7 linked regions of the Callithrix jacchus genome follow. The protein of the gene in region 2 interacts with the protein of the main gene of each other region in a pairwise test. Links are inferred from orthologs where the notes say so. Each region holds a gene or a part of one and is shown on either strand. Other genes may lie near its edges.

Region 1 (3,500 bases), on a different chromosome or scaffold from region 2:
TGGAACTGATATCTTCTTCCTGAGTATCATGAGTACTTATAAGAGGTGAAGGCTGAGGCTGTGGTTTATTCAAGTTAGGGCACGTCTTTGTTGAAGAAGGAAATACAGGTTCTCTTAGCCAGGCCCCCTCATTTCTATTTCTTTGTTGTTCCATGAGGAACTCTTTATTTTGAGACTCAAATTCAACAAGGAATTGAGCTTTCTGAACCCTTTGTTGAATATAGTGAGATTCTTCTACCACATCAAGCTCTTCTTTAATAGATAGATCACATGTGTACATCAAATCATGGTCAGAGATTCCAGCTATCCCCAAAGACTGCAGGTAGGCAATATGTTCATCTAGTTTTGTATCAGATTTTCTCTGAGCAGCATGCAAAGACTGAAGCTGCAGCTGGGTTACAGAGTTCTGAAGATCCTCGATTGTAAAGAGTTCTCTTAATTCTTGTTTACTAAAATATCGGAAGGGGTTCTTTTTTTCACCAGTAGTTTGTCTTATTAATGAGTCCTTGAAAACCTGTCTTCTGTATATTTTTTCCTCTACAGTCCCACAAGTGATTAGCCTATAAACCACAACATTTTCTTTTTGTCCAATTCTGTAAACTCTATCCACAGCTTGAGCATCGGTTGCAGGATTCCAGCTAGGGTCAAAAATGACCACTCTAGTTGCTGCAGTTAATGTTAAACCGACACCACCTACTTGAGTGGTAAGCAGAAAAACAGAGTAATCTTTATTTTGCTGGAACAAGTTAATTCTTTTTTCTCTTTCCAAAAGATGAGTAATTGTCCCATCGATTCGCAATATCTTAAAGTGCCTATTCTTTAAGAGGCGTTCAATGATGTTTAGAATTTGCCTTGACTGAGAAAACACCAGAGTTTGATGTCCCTCATCTCGCAGCCTCTTAAGTAGGCCCATTAGGAATATCATTTTTCCAGATTCTTCCATCAATGTGTCATCAGTTATTTGATCAATATGGTCCATGTCTGGGGAATCTTCCCCTTCATTTCCATCTTGAGCAGAGAATGTGACAGTCCCGAGATTTAGCAAACCACAAGCCCGTGCAGACAGCAGCCTAGGATGATCACACAGCTTCTTTAAGATACCTAGCTCAGCCAAAGGTGAGCGCGTCTCCATTAGCAATTCCTTGATATGATCTAAAGACACAAATTTCCTGTATATTTCTTCTTGTAAAGGCACAAGTCGTATCCAAATAATTAAATCATTTTTCCTGGAAAGGGAAGGCATTTCACAAATGGCATCAACATCTGGATTCTTTTCATTAAGTTTGACGTCTGGGTTGCTTGTTTTCTTCTGTACTTCTTCTTTAGTCCTCCTGAGAAAATAGGGTTTTATGATTGCCATTAAGTTTTCAGATATTTTAAATCCCAAGGCTTTTTCCCCTGGGGTAGCATCCTTCTCTCTTGCTCTAGTAATAGGATTTTCATACTCCATTCTAAAAGTTTTTAATGTTCCCAGCAGGGATCCTTGACAAGCAAAATCAAATAGGGACCATAGTTCTCGTAAGTTATTCTGGATTGGGGTTCCTGTGAGGAGGAGGCGATTACTTGCAGGAACAGCACGAGCACATATTGCTGACTTAGTAGATGAGGTTTTTATTTTATGTGCTTCATCAAGGATGACATAGTCCCACAGAAACTCTTGGCCCCTAAAGCTTGAAAGTTGTTGCCAGTTATTGATTAACATTTGGTATGTAGTGATAATGACACCATTCCTTTGCTGAATCCAATTGAGGTTTCTGGTTCGTTCATCCTTGCTAGGACCATGAAAGGTTTTGACTCTCATTCCTGGAGTCCACTTAACAAATTCTTTTAACCATGTGTTCATAAGATTGGTTGGCATGATCAGCAGCACATGATTCACAAGTGAAGCATCAAACATACCAGAAAGGAAAGCAATTATTTGAACAGTCTTCCCTAATCCCATATCATCAGCCAAAATACCACCTTTTCTTCCATCCCTATACAGGCTATAGAGGAAAGCTACGCCTTCCTTCTGGTGCTCAAAGAGTTGGTCGTGCAGTTCTCGATAAAGCAGCAGGCCAGAGTTGCGCACATCTGTAAATTCATCATCTCCCTGTTCTGCCAACTCCAAGACTTCCTGTATTTTTTGGATTCTGCTCAGCACCTTTTCATTGGGGAAAATGTCCTTTGCCAAATTGAAAAGTTTAAATGCTTCTTCCAGATCTCCATTCTTAGCTGCTTCTTTGGCCTCTTTCACGTATCTATAAAGTAAATAATAAAATAAAATAAAAAAGAAAAGAAAGGAAACATTGAACATTCAGTCGAAGAATGCTTTAGAGTTCATTTTGGAATCCAAACTGCAGCTGGACTTTTAATATCCTCAATTCAGGATGGGAAAGATTAGCACAGAAGATGCAGTGAAAGCTGGTGTCACTTGAGACACAAATATCCACCAGATACTGCCAGCAACACCTTCAGACACTATTTGTGGAAAATTAATGTGCAAAGGTTATTGGTTCCACAGTACTTTGTTAAAGTTGGCACCCGTAAGAAGTAAGAAGTGATTTTTTTGTAAAACAAACAATCCTCTATGTGTAGGGACATGGAAACATGGGGAACTTCTCTGGCCTTATTTTACTGGACTACTGTGATGCATTTGACACTACTGATCACTACTTTCCACTCTTAAAATTCCCTCCTTTCACCAGATTCCTACAGATTCCTTCTGGTTTTCCTCCTCTTCACTTGACCATTTCTTCTGTGTTCCTTCTACCAGAGGACTCAGTCATAGGACCTCTTCTCACTCTTTTTAGTCTCTCCTCAAGTTTTCCCAGAGCTTCCACTCCCACTTATGTGCTCATGATTCCCAAATCACTCTCTCCAACCCAGAGCTGTCCCTCAAGCTCTACTGTAGAGCCATTCAACTGCCTTCTGGACATCTCCCCTTGAAGTCAAATTCAATTCATCCCAAACTAAACTCATTATTTCCCCTCTAAAAACACGCTTCTCCATTTGTGTGGGAGTAAATAACACTACCCTCTACTTAGCCACACAAACTTCAAATCTGAAGAGAATCCTTGACCCCAACCTAAATATGAGTCATCCTTGTCCTTTCTGTTTTTTTTATGCCCCACCCTCAGGCCAGGCAGTCCCAAGTCCTACTAACTTTACTTCCCAAGTTATAACAACCTTCTTTCCATCTCTACTACCACTACTGTGGCCCAAGTCACCATCATCTCTGGCCTGGATAACTGCAGTTTCCTACTCACTGGTCTCCCTACATAAACTCTTGCCCTCTCCAATACACTCTCTATATAGCAACCAGCAATACTGTCTTAAAGCGTAAAATAAATCATGTCACTCCTCTGCTTACAATTCTTCAGTGGTGTATGGTCAATTAATTTCAGTAAGGATGCTAAAACAATTCACTAGAGAAAGAAGTCTTTTCAACTGAATATCTATGTGCAAAAGAATGAAATTGGACCCCTACTTACACCATATACAAAAATTAACTCAAAATG
Region 2 (3,500 bases):
TAACCTGCTGCCTTGCTCACTCACCCATGCTCAGCGTCCCTATCTGTAGGTGGAGTGGAGAGCAATCCCAGATTTACAGACATTCTAAGGATTAAATGAAATAACCCACGAGGGCTCTATAAAAGGTGGCTTGGGGAAAGAACCTGAATTATAAAGGGAGATTTCCCTTCTAAAAGAAACCTTATCCAGCAAAGACTTTACTCTTAGAAAATGAAAGTTCCAACACAGCTCAAGTTTTTTTTTCTTGTTTGGTTGGTTGTTTTGTTTTGTTTGAGACAGAGTCTCTCTCTATCACCCAGGCTGGAGTGCAATGGCGTGAATTTGGCTCACTGCAACCTCCACCTCCCAGGTTCAAGCGATTCTCCTGCCTCAGCCTCCTGAGTAACTGGGATTACAGGCGGGTGCCAAGAACGTCGGGCTAATTTTTGTATTTTTTTTTTTGAGACGGAGTTTCACTCTTATTACCCAGGCTGGAGTGCAATGGCGGGATCTCGGCTCACCGCAACCTCCGCCTCCTGGGTTCAGGCAATTCTCCTGCCTCCGCCTCCCGAGTAGCTGGGATTACAGGCATGCGCCACCATGCCCAGCTAATTTTTTGTATTTTTAGTAGAGATAGGGTTTCACCATGTTGACCAGGCTGGTCTTAAACTTCTGACCTCATGATCCACCCGCTTCGGACTCCCAAAGTGCTGGGATTACAAGCGTGAGCCATCACGCCCGGTCTCAAGTTATTTTTTAATTGTAACAAAACACAAACCAGCTGTCTTACTTAGGTTCAGTATGATGACTATATTCTCTTTCAACAGGCAGAATATAAGCTACAGTTTTTAAAAGTTCAAGACAAAGATGAAAAATTCTAAGCTCTTTTATTCCCACCATCCAGAACACGTAAATGACTAGGAGTATCAAAAAAATAAGTCTACTCTTCTACTTATATTTTATTTACTTTTCTTATTCTACTTATATTTTAAAATTCTAGGCCAGGCACAGTGGTTCATGCCTATAATCCCAGCACTTTGGGAGGCCAAGATTGGAGGGTCAATTGAGCCCAGGAGTTTGAGACCAGCCTGGACAACATGGCAAGACCCCATCTCTACAAAAAATAAATATTAGCCGGTGTGGAGACACACACCTATTGTCCTACCTAATCAGGAGGGTGAGGCAGGAAGATCATATGAGTCCAGGAGTTCAAAGGTGCAGGGAGCTATGACTGTGCTCCTGTACTCCAGCCTGGGCAACAGGGCAAGATCATGTCTCAAAATAAATTAATTAATTAAAATAAAACTCCAAGCACAGGGCAAAGTTCAGCAAAAAGCCACTGGGAGGAGAAAACCGTTACCCTCCAGCTAACCCACTAGGTTTCTGATGGACAGGGTACTTGGTAACACCATTCCGTGTGTCAGGTGACCCCAGGACTTTCAATGGAGCTGAGTTCATGCCATCTAATGGGCGTGACCATCTACCTGAAGTCGATCTCAGCAAGGGTCTCCAGAAGCTCTGTCCTCACCAGCCAGTAGGAACTGTTCCTCAGTGTCAGCAGGTCGATGAGCAGCTGCAGTCCTAGCTCACTGTAGCTGCTGCTGCAGAGACTCATGACACAATGCTGGAACACAAGGTCCAAGGCAAGAGGGCAGCAGGTCAGCCCCACTCAGTAGCCACATCTTGACGGTTTGAGAACCACCACTCTTAGACACACAATGTTCTGGGTTTAACTGCAACGAGGATGTTGTACTTTTCCCACACCTCTCAAGAACATTTATGGTATATAATTTATCTCAGTAAATACAAGCTTAAAAGTAAATGTGTCCCTTTCACATAACTGTTTCTCTCTTAATTCCATTTCTGCTATATCATGGCTTCAACTTGCAAAGGGCAAGTTCATAAACATTGATCGGTGTTACAGAGGGGCCTGCCACACGGCCCTAACACTACTTCTAAATAAATCTCAGACCCAAGGTAGGAACAAGGGACCTACACCAAGGACCACCGCACTGTGTCACTATGTACTCCAAGGCACAGGAGAACAGAACAGGTCCCGACTGCTGTACCCCTCCCCTGCAGCCCCAAGCACCCAGGGGCACCAGCACACACATGGCTGACACACAAACCCCCCACTAGCCACAAGACTGAGCTGTTAGCACATTTCCTTCCACTCAAGAAAGATACAACTGACTGAAACAAAACCTGGAAACTAGAGAAAAATTACTGTCAGGTGTGACATTTTAAAAAGGGGAGGCATCCCACAAATTTGACAACTGTAGGTTTTTTGTTTTAATTTTTACTGGTTGATTTTTATTCTTGCTGACTGGCCGGTTGTGACTTAACGAGCTAGCCGGTATGGAAAGGTTCAACATGCTATCACTTAAAGAATTGAGGCTGTGTCACTTCTTACAAAAACAGAGGTTGATTAAATAATCCCTAAGGCTCACTTTAACTCTTACCATTCTACAGACCTAATAGAGTGTTTTTTTAAAATCCAACAGATTGTTATTACTATTATTATTTTCGAGACAGTCTCACTCTGTTGCCCAGGCTAGAGGCCAGAGGTGCAATCATGCCTCACTGCAGCCTTGATCTCCAGGGCTCAAGCACTTAGCTCAGGCTTCCTAAGTAGCTGAGAGTAGGTATGCACCACCACACCCAGCTAATTGGGTTTTATGGTTTGTTTGTTTTTTTTATTTTCTGTAGAGACAGAGTCCAACTACATTGCCATAGTCTTGAACTCCTGGGCTCAAGCAATTCTTCCACCTTGGCCTCCCAAAGTGCTCAGATTACAAGCGTAAGTCACCGTGCCCAGTGTATTCAAAAGACTTTAGACTTAATGACAGGTTATTTGTAAATATATCCTTTAGGAAAAGGTCTATTTCAAACAAATATTCTGAGAATTAAAACTTAAACAAGTTTACTGAGCATTAACTTGATCGGCAATGTTTTCCTTCTAAAGCTGAGAGATGGATACATGGTGGGTATTACTGTGTGCAGCTTCAGAGTATATGGAAATATTTCCTATTAGGCTCCAATTTTAATTTTAGTGATGATAAAGTGTCCACTAATTGAAGAAATGGTTTCCAGAGAAGATTATGCTCACCCTCACAGCTGTACAGGCCAACTTGCAAGTAACAGAAGACTCATCCTTCAATGTTTTCCGCAGCAAAGGAACGCAATCCGCCAAAGAAAATGTATTTCCTAAGCAGAACAACAAGGAGCAACGTCATCATGGAAACTTAATACTTGGTCATGAGATTTAGAAAAAACACAGCTGAAAAACCGGCCATTACCTGTCAGGGTTCTAATGGTGCCCATCCACTCTCCCACGTGGAAGCGGGATCTGCTGAGGATGGAGCAGACGAGGGTCCCACAGAGAATGGCAGTGGCTCCTCGAACCTGTGGGTCTCCGTGATCGATGTAGTTCAAGATGTCTGAGACATACTGTTCCTCTGTGGAGACAGATTGCCCCCCCCAGGGAACAATTCCCCACCATCAACTTTCTAACTCAAAAC
Region 3 (2,449 bases), on a different chromosome or scaffold from region 2:
GATTGCAAAAGACACCAAAATTAGTGAATTCACTGCCATGAAATCATCCTACAGAAATAAAATCAAAGGCATGGCTAGCCATTCTTTTGTTAGTGCCTTTAAGGGATGAAAAGACCAAAGTATTCAATCACACAGATGATGTTTTGAAGAGATATGGGGTGTGCTTCTCAAATATGCAAGGAATAGAGACGGAATTTTCTGAGAGATCTGTGAAGAAGACTCTGTCTAATGGCATGAATCCTCATGACATACATAAAACACATGTAAGTTTTTGAGAATGTTATATCAGCAGAAACAATGCCAGCTTAGACTGAAAGAAAGAAATAGAGCAAGAAATGAAAGAAGGCTATAGGACTCCCAAAATTTGACAGGAGAAAGCAGGCTGATAAAACTACTCGGCTGTAAACACATGCTACCATTCAAAATAAAGGAAAAATGACTGAGGGCAGAACCAAGAGACCAGAGGGAAGATTTATTCCCCCAGGTGAAGTTACAGGATCAGAGTGATCAGAGGGAGGGGTCTCAAGCTGTAGACTATTCCCAGGCCTTGAAACCTAATGGTTAGATTTTGAAATTGTTTGGATTTGAGACTATTTTCTTTCCACTATTTCCCTTGTGAAATGGCAAAGTTATTGGCTGTAAATGAACAAAACTCAAAGGGAAAACACAGAATTAGCAGAGAGTAAAATTAAATAATAGAAAAGAAACAACTCTTAGTGCTTTGGCTTCACCTAGGAGAGACAAGAAATACACATCTGGGCTTAAACTGAGCACAAGATGCACTTCTCCATCAACTATGTTTACCTGGCACTGACAGGTATTGAGCATCTTATTATTAATTGCAAAATGATTAAAAAATATTTTTCAAATAGAGTAAAATCATGACACTCATACAGATATGAAATGAACATATACTAAAAGAAAAGGTTATTATAACAGGTTCAAAAGGGAAACCAAAGAATTGATATGGGAATATTCATCAGGAATATTAAATGATTGTGTGTAAATGGAGGTAAAATTGGTTTCATTAGGTGAAGGACAACTGAACCTCTACTGAAGAATATATCATCCATGTATCTGTGGCCTACAAGTAACAAAAACCTATGCAAGATTTCAGAGATAATGTAAGGCTAGAATCAGATAATTTGCAATGATGTCCTAAAGATAGAGCAAAGTTTTCCACTGAAACACACATTTATTTTTACAATGTCAAAATCAGATAAAAAGTTATAGTTCTCTCAAAATCAGGATTCAGTCATTAGGGTGACTAGGTCAGTGTCACAGACATTTCTAGGCTGAGGTCTGCTCAGGGAAATTCCAAAGTCTAGGATGTCACAAAGGCAGCTAGCTCCCTGACCAATCAGGGCCTGGAGCAGAGAGATACAATGGGCAGGACTAAGTGCCAGTGTCCTTGGAGACCTGCTCAAGCAGGAGAATCAAGCATAGCTCAGCAGAGCCAGACCAAGCAAACATAATGTCAGAAACAGAAAACTGTAAGAACTCCCCTACAAATAACAATCAGAATCAAGAACCTTCAAGAAATGAGCCACAGGTCCCTAGGACCTTCGTTGACCGCCTTCTTCAGGATGAACGAGATGCCCAAAGCCAGACTTCCTCCATGATAAATAGCCTCCTTACCTTGCTCGATTGCCTTGGTGACTTCATCATGGAGCAGGTAGGCCTGGAGGCCAGCCACAATGACAGTATGAACAACACTTCACAAGATGCGGAGAGAGAAGTGGACAACAACCGTGAGCCCCACTGCCTCGAGAGCGATATAACCTGCTTTCTGTTGGATGGGATGCCCAAATCCGAGAAGAATGGCTGAAGACCGAGTTCCAAAGCCTGGAAGGGATCCTCTCAGGCTTAACCAGGGCAAAAACATATCATAGCTGAGGAATCCCTGCTGTTGTCATCAACAAGTGCTATTAAAGGATGTAAATCCGTGAGTATGTTTCTGACTCCACTTAGTTTCCGTCACTTTGGGTTGGAGGTGTTTGTGAGACATCTAGGAGAAGCTATTCCTAGAGAGCTGAAGGGGTGTAGGGGTGGCCAGTGTGGGGAGTTTTGAATTAATGATTTTAGAGGGGGCAGTCTCCAATAGTGACTATGAGGTCACTGGCCTTTTGGGGAGGAACTGGCTGGGGTAGACACAGAGACTTCCTCATTGCCTTGGAACAGGAAGGCCTTGTGAGGCCAGGGGGTTGGCTGGGGACCTCTGAGGCTTGTTGAATTCCCAGCCTGATGCTGGGGCCTGGGGTGGAGCTGCAATCTCTGACTGAGGTGCTGGAGGCTTCATTCAGGATAGCAAAGGTCTGAAGTCAGATGGCGGCGGTCACAGAGGTGGATGGAGAGGGGGCACACTGGCTGGCATGAACTTAATGGGACAGGGGCTTTACATAGACATTGAGGAGTGAAGGAAAAACCATCACGAAAAATGCATAAAAGA
Region 4 (2,397 bases), on a different chromosome or scaffold from region 2:
GGTGTGCGCCTGTAGTCCCAGCTACTGGGGAGGTTGAGGCAGGAGGATCTCTTGAATCCAGGAGGCGGAGGTTGCAGTGAGCCAAGATTATGCCACTGCACTCCAGCCTGGGTGACAGAGTGAGACCCCGTCTCAAAAAAAAAAGAGAAAAATCAGGCGAGTGTGATGATGTGGGCCTGTAGTCCCAGCTACTCAGGAGGCTGAGGCAGGAGGATCACTTGAGCCTGGGAGGTCAAGGTTGCAGTGAGCTATGGTTGCACCACTGCACACCAGCCTGGGGAAAGAGAGTGAGAACCTGACTTAAAACAACAGCAACAACAAAAAAGCTCACAGGGAATTGCGTTTTCCTGTCTGCCTGTCTCCATTGTTGTAGGGAAGCCCTGAAGAAAATGAAGGATGTCTATGAGAAGACACCCCAGATGGGGGACCCTGCCAGCCTGGAGCCCCAGATCACCGAAACCCTGGGCAACATTGAACGGCTGAAATTGGAAGTGCAGAAGTATGAGGTCAGAAAAGACCCTGGGGAGGGGTGGGGGCCGGCGGGCCTGGCTGAGTCACTGCAGGGTGGGGTGGGGGTTGGGGACAGGGGAGGTGCTTGGAGCGGGGAAGGGGGTTCTCCAGCTGTTTTCCATCACAGCCTTGGCGGTGCCTGAGTGATCTCAGGGATCCTCCGGGGCCAGAGTGGGCTGACCTGGGAGCTCTGTCCTGGAAACGATCTTGGCGGTCCTCTCCTCCCAGGCGTGGCTGGCAGAAGCTGAAAGTCGAGTCCTTAGCAACCGTGGAGACAGCCTGAGCCGGCATGCCCGGCCTCCTGACCCCCCCACTAGCGCCCCACCAGACAACAGCAGCAACAGTGGATCACAGGACACCAAGGAGAGGTGAGGGGTGACGCCAGAGTGGGTGTGTTCCCAGGGACCCAGGAGGGCACATCTTTATCAGCCTAATTCTCCCCAAACAGCTCTGAAGAGCCTCCCTCAGAAGAGAGCCAGGAAACCCCCATTTACACGGAGTTTGATGAAGATTTCGAGGAGGAAGCCACATCTCCCATAGGTCACTGTGTGGCCATCTACCATTTTGAAGGTGAGGACGGCCAGAGTGGGCTTGCGGGGTGTCTCTATCTAGGTTCAGTTTAAATCCGTCTAAAGCAGGGCTGGGTACTTTGGGAGGCTGAGACAGACAGATCACTTGAGGTCAAGAGTTCCAGACCAGCCTGGCGAACATGGTGAAACCCCATCTCTACTAAAAATACAGAAATTAGCCAGGCGTGGTGGCGCATGCCTCGGGAGGCTGAGGCAGGAGAATCTTAAACCTGGGAGGCGGTGGTTGCGGGGAGCCGAGATCGCGCCATTGCACTCCAGCCTGGGTGACAGAGTGAGACTTGATCTCAAAAATAAAAAATAAATAAATTTGCCTAAAGTAGATCTAAGCCTATCTCCACCCCCATGACAGGGTCCAGCGAAGGCACCATCTCCATGGCTGAGGGTGAAGACCTCAGTCTTATGGAAGAAGACAAAGGGGATGGCTGGACCCGGGTCAGACGGAAAGAGGGAGGCGAGGGCTACGTTCCTACCTCCTACCTCCGAGTCACGCTCAATTGAACCCTGCTGGAGGCGGGAAGAGGGGGGCTGTCGGCTGCTGCTTCTGGGCCACGGGGGTGCCCCAGGACCTATGCACTTTATTTCTGACCCCGTGGCTTCGGCTGAAACCTGTGTAACCTGCTGCCCCCTCCAACCCCCCCACCTGACTCCACCTGTTGCTCCAGATGGACCCGCCGTGCCTTCTTCCACCATTGTTCCACCATTGATGTACATACTCATGTTTGACATCTTTTCTTCCTGCTGCTCGGCTCCGGCTATTTTGTTTTATACAAAAATGGGAAAAAAATTAATTATATAAAGTTCCTGGAGTCGGTGCCTTATTAGAAGATTTAAATACTGGGAGTGGAAGTATCTTAACGCCACATTTCTTACAGGCCACACACACAGGGAACAAGAAAGGGCAGGTGCTCTTGGGCATGCCTTGGGTCAACCCTGCCCCTTTGGGGAAGTTGGCTTTATGTCATTGTCATTGGCTGCCTGCTTGTGACTCAGGTAGAGAGAAGGATACCAAGTTTCTTTTTCTTTTTGAGATAGTCTCACCCAGTTGCCCAGGCTGGAGTGCAGTGGCGTGATCTCGGCTCACTGCAGACTCTACCTCCCGGGTTCAAGCAGTTCTGCCTCAGCCTCCCAGGTAGCTGGGATTACAGGCACACACCATCACGCCTGGCTAATTGTTTTTGTATTTTCTCTAGAGGCAGGGTTTTCCCATTTTGGCCAGGCTGGTCTTGAACTCCTGACCTCAAGTGAGCCATCCACCTTGGCCTCCCAAAGTGCTGGGATTATGGGCGTGAGCCACTGC
Region 5 (3,500 bases), about 3.7 Mb from region 2:
ACCAGGAAAGAGCAGACCTCCATTTTCCAGAAAGACCGAAGTTCTGAGTGATTCCAAAACAGCACAAAGCTCCTGATTTGTTTCAGAACGGGATGTGTTCTGATATAAACCAATCCTGAAAGTCCCTTAAATCCTTCAAAAGCTTTAAGTATTTATGTTTTTAATTTTGGGGAATATACCCTGAGGCCGAAGTAGAGAATTCATCAGGAAGTTTTCCATGAATAAATTACAGTAACTGGGTCGCATCGCAGGGCCATATTTATGTTGCTTTGAGAGGCGGTGATGACAGGCTTTTCATCATCAGGCATGCAGAGACGTGTGTGTCTCTGCTTCAGGATCCCTCTGTGAAACCTCCCCGCTTCCATGACCCATCTGCCCTGCAGATCTGTGACACAGCGGCAAGGCAGGGCAGGTGTATCATCGCAGGCTCACCTTGGGCGGTTTCAGACTTTTCCCTCGATGCCTTTTGGAGCGCAACAGCCGTTCTCTCTCCTAGAAGGAAGCACAAGAGTTGGCATTTCCAGCCGGCCTCACATCTCATGAAACAAAGCCACTGGCTCTCAAAGGGAGCTGTGCCTGCCCATCCACACCAGGTATGGCTAGTTCAAGTTCTAAGGGCCCAAGTGATGGCTGCTTCTCTGAACTGAGAGCTACAGGGAGGGTTTATTATCCACCTTTTGACTTTTTATTTCATTGAAATATATTTTTCATCCTAAGCTGCATTGAGTCTTTTATGTGATGAAGCAAAGATGGATGGATGGATGGATGGATGGATGGATGGATGGATGGATGGATAAGTAGATGGAAGCATGAAAGCATGGGTGAGTAGATGGATGGATGGACAGATGAAAGGAAGAAAGAGAGCAGTTAAAGTGGTAGAGAGAGATGGCGGCAGGCAAAATGAACATGACAATTATAATCAAAGCCTTTTCTAGAATTTTGATCACTAGCTTTCCTATTCTTTGAAGACCAGTGCATGGAACCATCACACACCCTCTCGGGTGACAGCAGAACACGTTCCACTTCTAAGACCTGGCTAAAGCTCCCTGCAGGTGTTCCCTGCCTGTTACCTAAGCTCCTTTCACAGAGAGCTGCAGAATTCTCTGGATGTAATTCCCCACTTGCTTAACATACTAACCCCGCTTCGATAGATGCATGGCCCATATACATGTCCAAAAAGCACACAGACAGATTTAGCTGAGTGCTGTTCTGATTATACAGTTCAAATTTGTGGGCTCAAACTCACAGTCTGCAACTGCTAACTAAAAACCAATCAAACAAACAAACAAAAAGCCTTCTCTGGAACAGATCATGCCCAGTCTCTAACAGGCAAAAGACATCCTTAAAACTGATGCTGCTTCTTAACCACAGCAAACAGGGAGAAGATTTGAGAAGAGGGTAGCCATGGAAACCGTCCCCAGGTACCAGTGATCTCGTTTAAGCCAAGGCTGCTTGATGGCAGAATGAAGCAGGCATGAGCACACCGGGGTGAGCTTCCCAAAGTCAGCACTGCCTGACCCTGACCCAGCTCAGCAGCACCACCCTGAGCCCCGACACCCGTTCCTGACACCCATGTCACCCCGTGCCACCCGCACCAGGGGCAGCCACAGCAGCCATGCTAGATGTACCAGTGAGAGGTCGTCAATGACGTGCTGCTGCTCCAGCACCTGCAGCCTCAGGAACTCGATCTCCTGCTCATCCCTGGTCAGGCTGAGGTCGTTCAGGGAGGTGTGCCGCTTCAGAGACGCCTGTGCCGACAGCTTTTCTTTCTGCAGCCACAGGGAGAGAGACCACTGCAGCATTACCCACCAACAATGTTTGTTAGGGACAGCACTGGAGTGGGGCTTAGGGGTGCAGGGACAGATGGATGGATGGGAGGATGAAAGAGATGATGGCCTGATATGGTTTGGCTGTGTCCCCACCCAAATCTCATCTGGAATTGTAGCTCCCATAATTCCCATGTGTTATGGGAGGGGCCCAGTGTGAGATAACTGAATCGTGTGGTGGTTCCCCCATACTGTTCTGATGGTTGTGAATAAGTCTCTGATGTTTTTGTAAGGGCTTTCCCCTTTTACTTAGCTCTCAATCTCTCTTGTCTGCCACCACATAAGATGTGCCTTTAGCCTTCTGCCATGATTGTGAGGCCTCCCCAGTCAGGTGGAACTGTGAGTCCATTAAACGTTTTTATCATTATAAATTACCCAGTCTCAGGTATGTGTTTATCAGCAGTGTGAAAATGGACTAATATGTGGCCCCCTTGTCCTGTGCTGGAAGAGGGGACAAGGCAGATCAAAACCAAGCCCAAGGTTGGGCTGACTGTGCATGCTGCTGACAGGAAGGGATGGACTGGGCCTGGGCACAGAAGATGACATCTGAAATGAGTCTAGAAAGCTGGGAGGGGAAGGCAGGGGAAGGCGAGGACTTCACAAAACAGCAAACTACACACACACACACACACACACACACCTGCACCTGCTGTGGTACAGACAGTGGAGCGTGCATGCTCTCAGCACCTCCACTGTCTGTGAAACAGGGGTTGATGTTACTCTGAACAATGAACCTGAAAGCGTTCTGTAAACTGTCAACTACAAGACACCCGCACTGACCACAAACACCAGGCATCCTAGCTGGAGGAAAAACGCCCTCTGCAGAGCATCACCAGCGATCATAGTAACGGCTTTCACATACTGGGTGTCCTCTGAGGTCTTTGCGTGCTATCATTTCTTCCTCTTGGTGATCCTGCAGTGTTGATATTTTCATTCCCATTGTATGTATGAAGAAACAGGCTCAGAGAGAATGGGGGATGTGTTTAAGGACACAGCTGTCTCTCTGGCACAAACACCCACAGCACAGTGAATGCAAGACAGATGGAGAGAAGGAAGAGACGTTTGACCGACGCTGCTTCTGGTGCTTCTTGGGGAGGTGGGTGGCAGGTGGGCCCCAGAACATGTGGACCGGAAGGTTCGGGGCTTGAGAATCCCAGATAGAGATGGGAGTGCCAGGGCTGACCCACGGGGCCCATGGCTCACCATTTCCACATTTTCCCGTGTGAGATTCTTAATTTTCTCCTCCATCCTCTGTATACTCTGCAACAAATCCTCATTCTTCTTGTTCATCCTCTTGTTCTTCTCCACCAGAGGCTTCAGCTGAACCTCAGTCTCTCGCGAGCGTTTCAGCTGTGTTCGGAAACAGACACAGAGGCTCAGACAACTTGAAGATGGACGGCTGAGGTCACAGCACCGAGGTGAGCAGAGGCTCAACCCCAGCCCTGTTAGGACCCCGTCCGAGACCAGCGTCCTGGGTGACACACTTGTTTGCTAGTGGCATGACCACAGGCAAGTTCTCAGCCTCAGTTCCTCACCTATCAAATGAGAATCATGGCAGCTTCTGTCTCCTAGGCATGTGGTATGAATTAAATGCATACTGATAGTCCCCTCAGGGTTATTTTCATGAAAAGAATTAGAAACAACGTAACTATCTATCAATATTATGACAACCAC
Region 6 (4,188 bases), on a different chromosome or scaffold from region 2:
TGGAGTGCAATGGCACGATCTCAGCTCACCGCAACCTCCACCTTCTGGGTTCAAGCAATTCTCTTGCCTCAGCCTCCTGAGTAGCTGGGACTACAGGCGCGCACCACCACGCCGAGCTAGTTTTTGTATATTTAGTACAGACCAGGTTTCACCTTGTTGACCAGGATGGTCTCAATCTCTTGACCTCGTGATCCACCCGCCTCGCCTCCCAAAGTACTGGGATTATAGGCATGAGCCACCGCACCCAGCATTTTTTTTTTTTGAGACAGGGTCTCACTCTGTCAGCCAGGCTGGAGTACAGTGGCGCAATCTCAGCTCACTGCAGCCTGACCTCCTGGGCTCAAGTGATCCTCCTATCTCAGCCTCCCAAGTAGCTGGGACTATAGGGGTGCACAACACCACGCCCAGCTAATTTTCATATTTTTTTGGTAGAGACAGGGTCTCACCACATTGCCCAGGCTGGTGTCAAACTTCTAGGCTCAAAACATCTGCCTGCCTCACCCTCCCAAAGTGCTAGGACCTCAGGTATGAGCCACTACACCTGGCTCTACGCTTTTTTTTTTTTTTCTGCAGAGTAGGGGAAGGGTTAGATGGTCTTCTACCCTTCCACAGAGTGTGGTCAACCAGACTGTCCTCCTGACCCCCCATCTACTCTAAGGAAATGAGACTTCAAAGGGAAGGTCACAAAAATTCCTCAAAATATACATTAAAAATTATGAAGGTGCCATGTTTCATGCCTGTAACCCCAGCACTTTGGGAGGCCAAGGCAGGTGGATCGCTTGAGCTCAGGAGTTCAAGACCAGGCTGGGCAACATAGTGAGACCCCATCTCTACAAAAAAACACGAGCATTAGCCAGGCGTGGTGGTGGTGCACGCTTATAGTCCCAGCAACTTGGGAGACTGAGGTGGTAGGATCACTTGAGTTGGGGAGGTTGAGTGCACGGTGATGGCACTACTGCACTCCAGCCTGGGCGCCAGAGCGAGACCCTGTCTCAAAAAAAAAAAGAAAATCATTAAGTCAACTATGTGGTAGATAACAAGGAAAAAAATCAACACACCAGACAGGAAACTAGCTTTTTTTCTCCCTTAAATTAAATATAAAGGGCAGCCTCCGAAAGCCAAGAGGAGGTTCTGCACACAGAAGCCAAATTAATCGGTGGACCTGCAGCCCACCCTGCACCTTGCACCCCCTTCCAAGTCCTCTTTTTTTTCTTTTTTGAGACAGAGTTCGCTCTTGTTACCCAGGCTGGAGTGCAATGGCGCGATCTCGGCTCACCGCAACCTCCGCCTCCTGGGTTCAAGCAATTCTCCTGCCTCAGCCTCCTGAGTAGCTGGGATTACAGGTGAGGTAGTACCTGTAATTAGTACCACCATGCCCAGCTAATTTCTGTATTTTTAGTAGAGACGGGGTTTCACCATGTTGACCAGGATGGTCTCGATCTCTCGACCTCGTGATCCACCCGCCTCAGCCTCCCAAAGTGCTGGGATTACAGGCGTGAGCCTTCCTGGCCTGTTTCACGGTTCGGTTCCACCCCGAGGGGACACGCATGTGGCTGAGAACGAGGCCCGCGACTGGAGCAGCCAGCAGCAGCCAACCCACACCCCCGACGACGGCCCGTGTCCGGATTCCCCCCGGGAATGAGTCATTTTAATCGCCGCGGGTGAGATCCAGCCAGGGGATGAGCCCCCAGAACCCAGGTCACAAAGCCGTTTCCCGGGAAGGCGGCGATTTCCAGATTTCTGCTCCCAAAGCTAAAAGCCACGCCGTTTTGGGAAAGGCTGGGTTAACGCTGCGCTCCCAGAAAGACCGAGGTGACATCATGCTGGGGAGGGGCGTCTGGGCCCGGAACCCCCTCGGTGGTGCCGCAGCCACCGCGCAGCCCAGGACCGGGAGTGCGCATGTGGACGAAGGACCGTGCCCTGAACCCCCAGACCCTGGGCCCCGCCCCGCACCCCGGCCTGCACCCCCACACTCGGCACCCCAAGACTCCGAGCGCCGCCCGCACCCCCAGACCCAGGGCCCCGCCCCGCACCCTCAGACCCAGGACCCCGCCCGCTCCCCGAGACCTGGTACCCCCAGACCCCGAGCGCCGCCCGCACCCCCAGACCGCAGGCCCCCCGCATCCCAGCCCGCACCCCCAGACCCCGGGCCCCCCGCATCCCAGCCCGCACCCCCAGACCCCGGGCCCCCCGCATCCCAGCCCGCACCCCCAGACCCCGGGCCCCCCGCATCCCAGCCCGCACCCCCAGACCCCGGGCCCCCCGCATCCCAGCCCGCACCCCCAGACCCCGGGCCCGCCTGCACCCCCAGACCGCAGGCCCCCCGCATCCCAGCCCGCACCCCCAGACCCCGGGCCCCCCGCATCCCAGCCCGCACCCCCAGACCCCGGGCCCCCCGCATCCCAGCCCGCACCCCCAGACCGCAGGCCCCCCGCATCCCAGTCCGCACCCCCAGACCCCGGGCCCCCCGCATCCCAGCCCGCACCCCCAGACCCCGGGCCCGCCTGCACCCCCGCCTCGGGCCCCCGCTGCAGACCGTCTCCCCCTGCGGCCCCTGCCCCGCGCCGCCCCCGCCACTCACAGTTGCGGATATCCGAGATGAAGACCGCCAGGCCCCGCATCCCATCCCCCTTGGACACGGCGGGCATCTTCCGGCGCTGCGGAGCGGCCTCGGCTGGCGGGCCCGGGCGGAGGAGCGCGGGGAGCGGGGAGCGGGAAGCGCGGGCGCCGTCACCGCCGCGGAGAAGCCGCCGGGGAGCCGCCTAACCACCGCCGCCTCAGGCTCCGAGCGCCGCTTTCTGGGCCGCCGGCGCGCGCACGCACGACGCCCCCACCCGCATGCACGCGCACGCACGCGAGCGGTGACGGACGGCAGCCGGGGCGTCCGTCGCGTGAGGCAGCGCGCGCGCGTCCGCGGCACGGGGACGAGCTGGTTGAGGTAGGCGCGGGAGCGCCCCCTACAGGCGGAGACGCGGGAGTCACGGGTTCGCGTCCCGGGGCCGCGCCGGGCTGGCGATGCCTCCCGCGTCCCCCGCAGGAAGGGTGTGGGTCCACGTGGGTACTCGCGTGCGCAGCGCGGCCGCCTCCGTTGTTGTTGCTGGTACTACAGGCAACGAGCCCGTTCGTGGGACACTCTTGGTGGTCACTGCAAAAGGGGCAGCCACGCAGGCGCACACGTGCGGCTTCGCCCTGGGCATCGGCCCGCCTCGATCGCGCCCAGCAGGTCTCCGTTTTCCTACATTGACTAAAGGACCCGTGAGCGCTGTGCGGCAGGGCGGCTCCGCGGCCAGGGCCTTGTTTGTCCCGGGTGAGCCAGGACCGGGAGGGCGGCGCCGAAGGATGCGGGGCCCGGGCGAAGGGGTCACCGCCGCGGGACAGCCTTTGGCCAGGAGACCCTCCCCAGCCCCGTATCCTGAGACCATAGGGCTGGCCTGCCCCTCCCGCCCACCCGAGCGTCCAGGGCCAAAGCGGGCACCGTTTGCGTCCCAGCCCAGGTTGCGTCCCAGCCCAGGTTGCGTCCCAGCCCAGGTTGCATCCCAGCCCAGGTTGCGTCCCAGCCCAGGTTGCATCCCAGCCCAGGTTGCGTCCCAGCCCAGGTTGCGTCCCAGCCCAGGTTGCGTCCCAGCCCACCATTTGTGCGTGGCAGCCCAGGCGCCCCTCCACATCACCCGGACCTGCAGAGAAACGACCGCCCACCCCACCCCGTGACGGTGGCTGGGGGCTGCAGCCCAGTGCAGAATCCAGTCCCTCAGTGCGAGGACTCTCTGCCACTGTTTCAGAGACCCCTCTGCTCTCTGGCCCTCTGCACAGCAGCAAGCTGGAGGCCTAGGCCGGCCCCTGCGGACCCAGCGGGAGGGAGGACCTTCTGGGCCAGGCTGCAGGCTCTGTCTTAGGCCAGGAAGAGACTCCAGGGAGCCTGGAAGCAGATGGCCCTTCCCAGAGCCAGATGGCTTTGAAGAGGGAGCTCCCTCCTCCTGGAGTGGGAGGATCTGGGCCCTGTACCTGGAACTGGCCCAGACCCACCAGCCACGACTTTGTCCCCACCCTGGCTCACTTCCGCAACCCCAGATGAGAGTTTAGCCCAGTGAAGCCCTGCCAGGAGGAGGGGGCAGCACCCAGGCCCCTCCCCAATGAACCGGGAACCACACCCAGGCCCTGGGCCTCCAGAACTCCTGGGAAAAACCAGGA
Region 7 (3,033 bases), on a different chromosome or scaffold from region 2:
TTCCTGAGGCCTCCCCAGCCATGAGACTGTGAGTTAATTAAACCTCTTTTCTTTATGAACTACCGAGTCTCAGGTAGTTCTTGATAGTGGGGTGAGAACAGAACAATACAGATTGGCAGCAGGAATAGGCTGAACAGAGGCAAGGAGATGCTAGGTAGAAGCAGCCGTGGACAGAAGGGAGACAAGTCCTCACAAGGCAGCACCACAGAGAGGGAAGGATGGGCCAGAGGGTCTGTGCTAGGTCCTGGGCATGTGACCTTGCACCTGCAGAGCAACCTTATGTGTTGGGTATTGCTCCCATCCTACAATGAGGCTCAGAGAGGTGATGCTGCTAGCCCCCAGTCACACAAGCTGATGAGCAGCAGAGCCTGGCTCTTGCTCCAGCCTGGAGACTTCCAAGGACCTGGATCTTACCATGGTGCCCACTGTGTATACCATCAGCAGGAGATCATGTTTCCAGCACTTTGACCCCATTGCAAGGAGCACATAGGTAACTTGATTTAAAACCAGTTCCTGACCAGGCTGCAGATGGGCACTTAACAGTCAGGGTCAGGGGAGCAAAGTGGGTGAAAGTCAGAAGTCCTCCCTCTCTCCACGTATCCAGCAACTGTGCTGACTCGTGTATAAGCTCAGACCCATCTCTTTGGGGATTTCTACTTCAACCGTACAGCTGGTAGCAGAGGATCATGAGACATCCCAGAAGCTTCCAGTGGGAACTGGCTGCTGAGTAAAACCACCACCCCCCACCCCACCTGCAGAAGGGCCACACCACAGCCAGTGGGCAACATGTGCCGTGGGCATGTGGAAGTTGCCCGGCAGACTCACCCTGTGCTGCCACTCTTCAACCTCATCCTCCTTGCGCCTCCGCGCCTCTTCCAGGAGGGCGATCTTGGCAGTGTACTCCGCAAGCTCTGCAGCCTGGAAAGGGAACGCCAAGCTCAAGTGAGTTCTGGAACCCTTTCGACAGTCTGGTTGTGAATGAGCAGCCTCCACTGTGACACCCGAGTCCCTCCTACCCATGGCCAACAGGGTCTATCATACACTCCTGCCGTCTCTTCCTGGATGCTCACACCCACCTTCTATGGGTGACCCAGGCAACAGCCCAGCCCCTTCCCCGTCAGCTGCTTCAGCCCCCAGATCAGTTAACAGCTTCCAGTCATGACAATTATTACAAGGCAGGTGTCACATTTTCCATCCTCAGAAGCATCCTCTCTATAATTCAGCATCTTGAAACTCAGGCGATTCCTACCAGCTGCTCCTGGCTCTTTATCTGATCCACCGCCTGTCTCTCCAGCTCCTCCTTAGCCCGCAGTGCAGCCATGCGGTCAGCCTCTAGGCGCTCAGCCTCCTCCTGAGCCCGCTTCCTCTCCTCCTCCAGCTGCAGGGCCCTCTGAATCTGCTCTGAGAGCTCTGAGAAGACACAAAGCCAGAACTACTCAAGCCCTCAGCCCAGGGACCTTGGAACCCCCATCTTCTATTTCCACCCAAAAAGCCAGAGAGCCTTGGACCAAGTCACAAGTCGATGGGATGTCTTCCAGTGACCCCGAAGAAAGCACTTCACAGCTCATTCCTGTCGTTTCCATGACAACTTCCTCAGTATGGCTAGAAACCCCTGTCCAACCCCAGCCAGGCGCCCACTCCCTGGCATGCCTGACTCACCCCTCCTGGTGCTCCTCTCCCCAGGCCAGCTACCCGGTGTGCAGGTACCACCCCACACTCAGAACATAGAAATGCTCTCCCCGTGTGTGCTAAGGGCTGCCAATGAACACAGCATCTGTGACGCCCTGTGTAACGGCCCAGCTGCTGGGGTTGTCTACTGGAGCTGTGCAGGGAAGACTGGCTCAGCCCTGTCACTCATGGTCTGTGGGACTGTGGGCAAGTCACTGTACCACACCAAACCTTAATGTCCTTATTGGGGAAACTGGGTGATTTAGCTCTTACCTCAAAGGTCTAGGGAAATTTTAAAATGCGATGTCTTAGAACAATTAGCACCAAAGTTAAGGAAGAACAGAATCATTTTCCAAACCAAATAACCATGTTGTCAATTCTGCTGCGAGTCTGCACTGTGGGACTCATTCTTGGGAAGAGGTTCCTTCCTGGTGGGTGGGTGTGGGCCCTGCCTCTCTGTGGAAATGCATGCCCCAGTGTGGAGCACCAGCCGCCCCAGGGCTCCTGACCTCTCTCTGCCTTCTTGGTCTTCTCCTCATAGTCCTGCAGCCGCAGCATCAGCTCCTCCTTCTCACGCATCATCTGCTCTTTCTCTCTCTCCACAGTTTCTCTCCTTTTCTTCTCCGTTTCCAACTGTTGCCTAGTGAGGCGGAAAGAGGCACAGGGACATTTAGACTCTAGCAGGGAAGTAAGGGGTCAACACACTTCAGGGGGTGTGCAGTTCTAGGATGGACTTGGTATCCTCAGGGCCACCCTGGCCTGCTGCCAGCCTGAGCCACCTGATAGAGCAGCTGCTCCAGGGCTGACACCAGGCTCAGCACCACAGCCACTGCCCAGAGACAAAGGCCCGGAAGAACCCAGTGTGGCGACTGGGTTCCATTCCACCAGGCTGTCCTGATGAGCTCTGGGGTCACCTGACAGGCACCGGCTACCTCGGCAGGTAGGGCTGGCGGAGGCTGAGCAGGGAGAACACAGGCCCCTGCTCCGGCCTCCCATGCTCACCGTTCCAGCTGCTTCTGATGCTTCTCCTCCCGGGCCTGGGCCTTCATCTGCTGCACCTCGATAGTGTCGGGCTTCCTGCGGCGCATGTACAGCTCATGGTTGCCCATGCAGAGCTGCAGGATCCGTTTGTTAATTCTCAGGCGGGGGGCATAAAACACAAAGTCCTACGAAACAGAACAGGGTAACCTGGACTCAAGCTCCTTCGTTTGGTTTTCTTCTCCCAAACCATACTTCACAAAGGTCCAGAACTTTTCTAAAAGAACCAATGTAGTAGAACAGGGATGTAGCAGAGCAGCCTTGGTATTCAGAATGTGCATTCTCTGGGATGGGGAGGGCGTGCAGGTGCTGCGTGTGTGTGGTTAT

What was found.
Region 1: the proteins of HTT (region 2) and ERCC6L interact in binary tests that used the Homo sapiens proteins (3 or more experiments, as listed by UniProt). The link is inferred for Callithrix jacchus from reciprocal best matches to the Homo sapiens genes HTT and ERCC6L.
Region 3: the proteins of HTT (region 2) and H2AP interact in binary tests that used the Homo sapiens proteins (3 or more experiments, as listed by UniProt). The link is inferred for Callithrix jacchus from reciprocal best matches to the Homo sapiens genes HTT and H2AP.
Region 4: the proteins of HTT (region 2) and TRIP10 interact in binary tests that used the Homo sapiens proteins (3 or more experiments, as listed by UniProt). The link is inferred for Callithrix jacchus from reciprocal best matches to the Homo sapiens genes HTT and TRIP10.
Region 5: the proteins of HTT (region 2) and JAKMIP1 interact in binary tests that used the Homo sapiens proteins (3 or more experiments, as listed by UniProt). The link is inferred for Callithrix jacchus from reciprocal best matches to the Homo sapiens genes HTT and JAKMIP1.
Region 6: the proteins of HTT (region 2) and AP2A2 interact in a two-hybrid assay, tested with the Homo sapiens proteins (2 studies listed by BioGRID and IntAct). The link is inferred for Callithrix jacchus from reciprocal best matches to the Homo sapiens genes HTT and AP2A2.
Region 7: the proteins of HTT (region 2) and EZR interact in binary tests that used the Homo sapiens proteins (3 or more experiments, as listed by UniProt). The link is inferred for Callithrix jacchus from reciprocal best matches to the Homo sapiens genes HTT and EZR.

Annotation. Positions count from the first base shown.
Region 1 is NC_133524.1:69,419,477-69,422,976, forward strand, and holds part of ERCC6L (DNA excision repair protein ERCC-6-like), read right to left. Parts: intron 2,241-3,500; coding exon 1-2,240. UniProt on the Homo sapiens protein: DNA helicase that acts as a tension sensor that associates with catenated DNA which is stretched under tension until it is resolved during anaphase. Functions as ATP-dependent DNA translocase. Can promote Holliday junction branch migration (in vitro).
Region 2 is NC_133504.1:190,015,536-190,019,035, forward strand, and holds part of HTT (huntingtin), read right to left. Parts: intron 3,438-3,500; coding exon 3,279-3,437; intron 3,187-3,278; coding exon 3,089-3,186; intron 1,604-3,088; coding exon 1,464-1,603; intron 1-1,463.
Region 3 is NC_133524.1:38,777,988-38,780,436, forward strand, and holds H2AP (huntingtin-interacting protein M), read left to right. Parts: upstream 1-1,413; 5' UTR 1,414-1,474; coding exon 1,475-1,828; 3' UTR 1,829-1,949; downstream 1,950-2,449.
Region 4 is NC_133523.1:6,342,660-6,345,056, forward strand, and holds the end of TRIP10 (cdc42-interacting protein 4), read left to right. Parts: intron 1-373; coding exon 374-506; intron 507-738; coding exon 739-878; intron 879-958; coding exon 959-1,080; intron 1,081-1,449; coding exon 1,450-1,598; 3' UTR 1,599-1,897; downstream 1,898-2,397. UniProt on the Homo sapiens protein: Required for translocation of GLUT4 to the plasma membrane in response to insulin signaling. Required to coordinate membrane tubulation with reorganization of the actin cytoskeleton during endocytosis.
Region 5 is NC_133504.1:186,296,324-186,299,823, forward strand, and holds part of JAKMIP1 (janus kinase and microtubule-interacting protein 1), read right to left. Parts: intron 3,177-3,500; coding exon 3,030-3,176; intron 1,770-3,029; coding exon 1,629-1,769; intron 493-1,628; coding exon 433-492; intron 1-432. UniProt on the Homo sapiens protein: Associates with microtubules and may play a role in the microtubule-dependent transport of the GABA-B receptor. May play a role in JAK1 signaling and regulate microtubule cytoskeleton rearrangements.
Region 6 is NC_133511.1:130,985,043-130,989,230, forward strand, and holds the start of AP2A2 (AP-2 complex subunit alpha-2), read right to left. Parts: upstream 2,801-4,188; 5' UTR 2,649-2,800; coding exon 2,582-2,648; intron 1-2,581. UniProt on the Homo sapiens protein: Component of the adaptor protein complex 2 (AP-2). Adaptor protein complexes function in protein transport via transport vesicles in different membrane traffic pathways.
Region 7 is NC_133505.1:165,579,687-165,582,719, forward strand, and holds part of EZR (ezrin), read right to left. Parts: intron 2,835-3,033; coding exon 2,671-2,834; intron 2,309-2,670; coding exon 2,178-2,308; intron 1,411-2,177; coding exon 1,250-1,410; intron 919-1,249; coding exon 826-918; intron 1-825. UniProt on the Homo sapiens protein: Probably involved in connections of major cytoskeletal structures to the plasma membrane. In epithelial cells, required for the formation of microvilli and membrane ruffles on the apical pole. Along with PLEKHG6, required for normal macropinocytosis.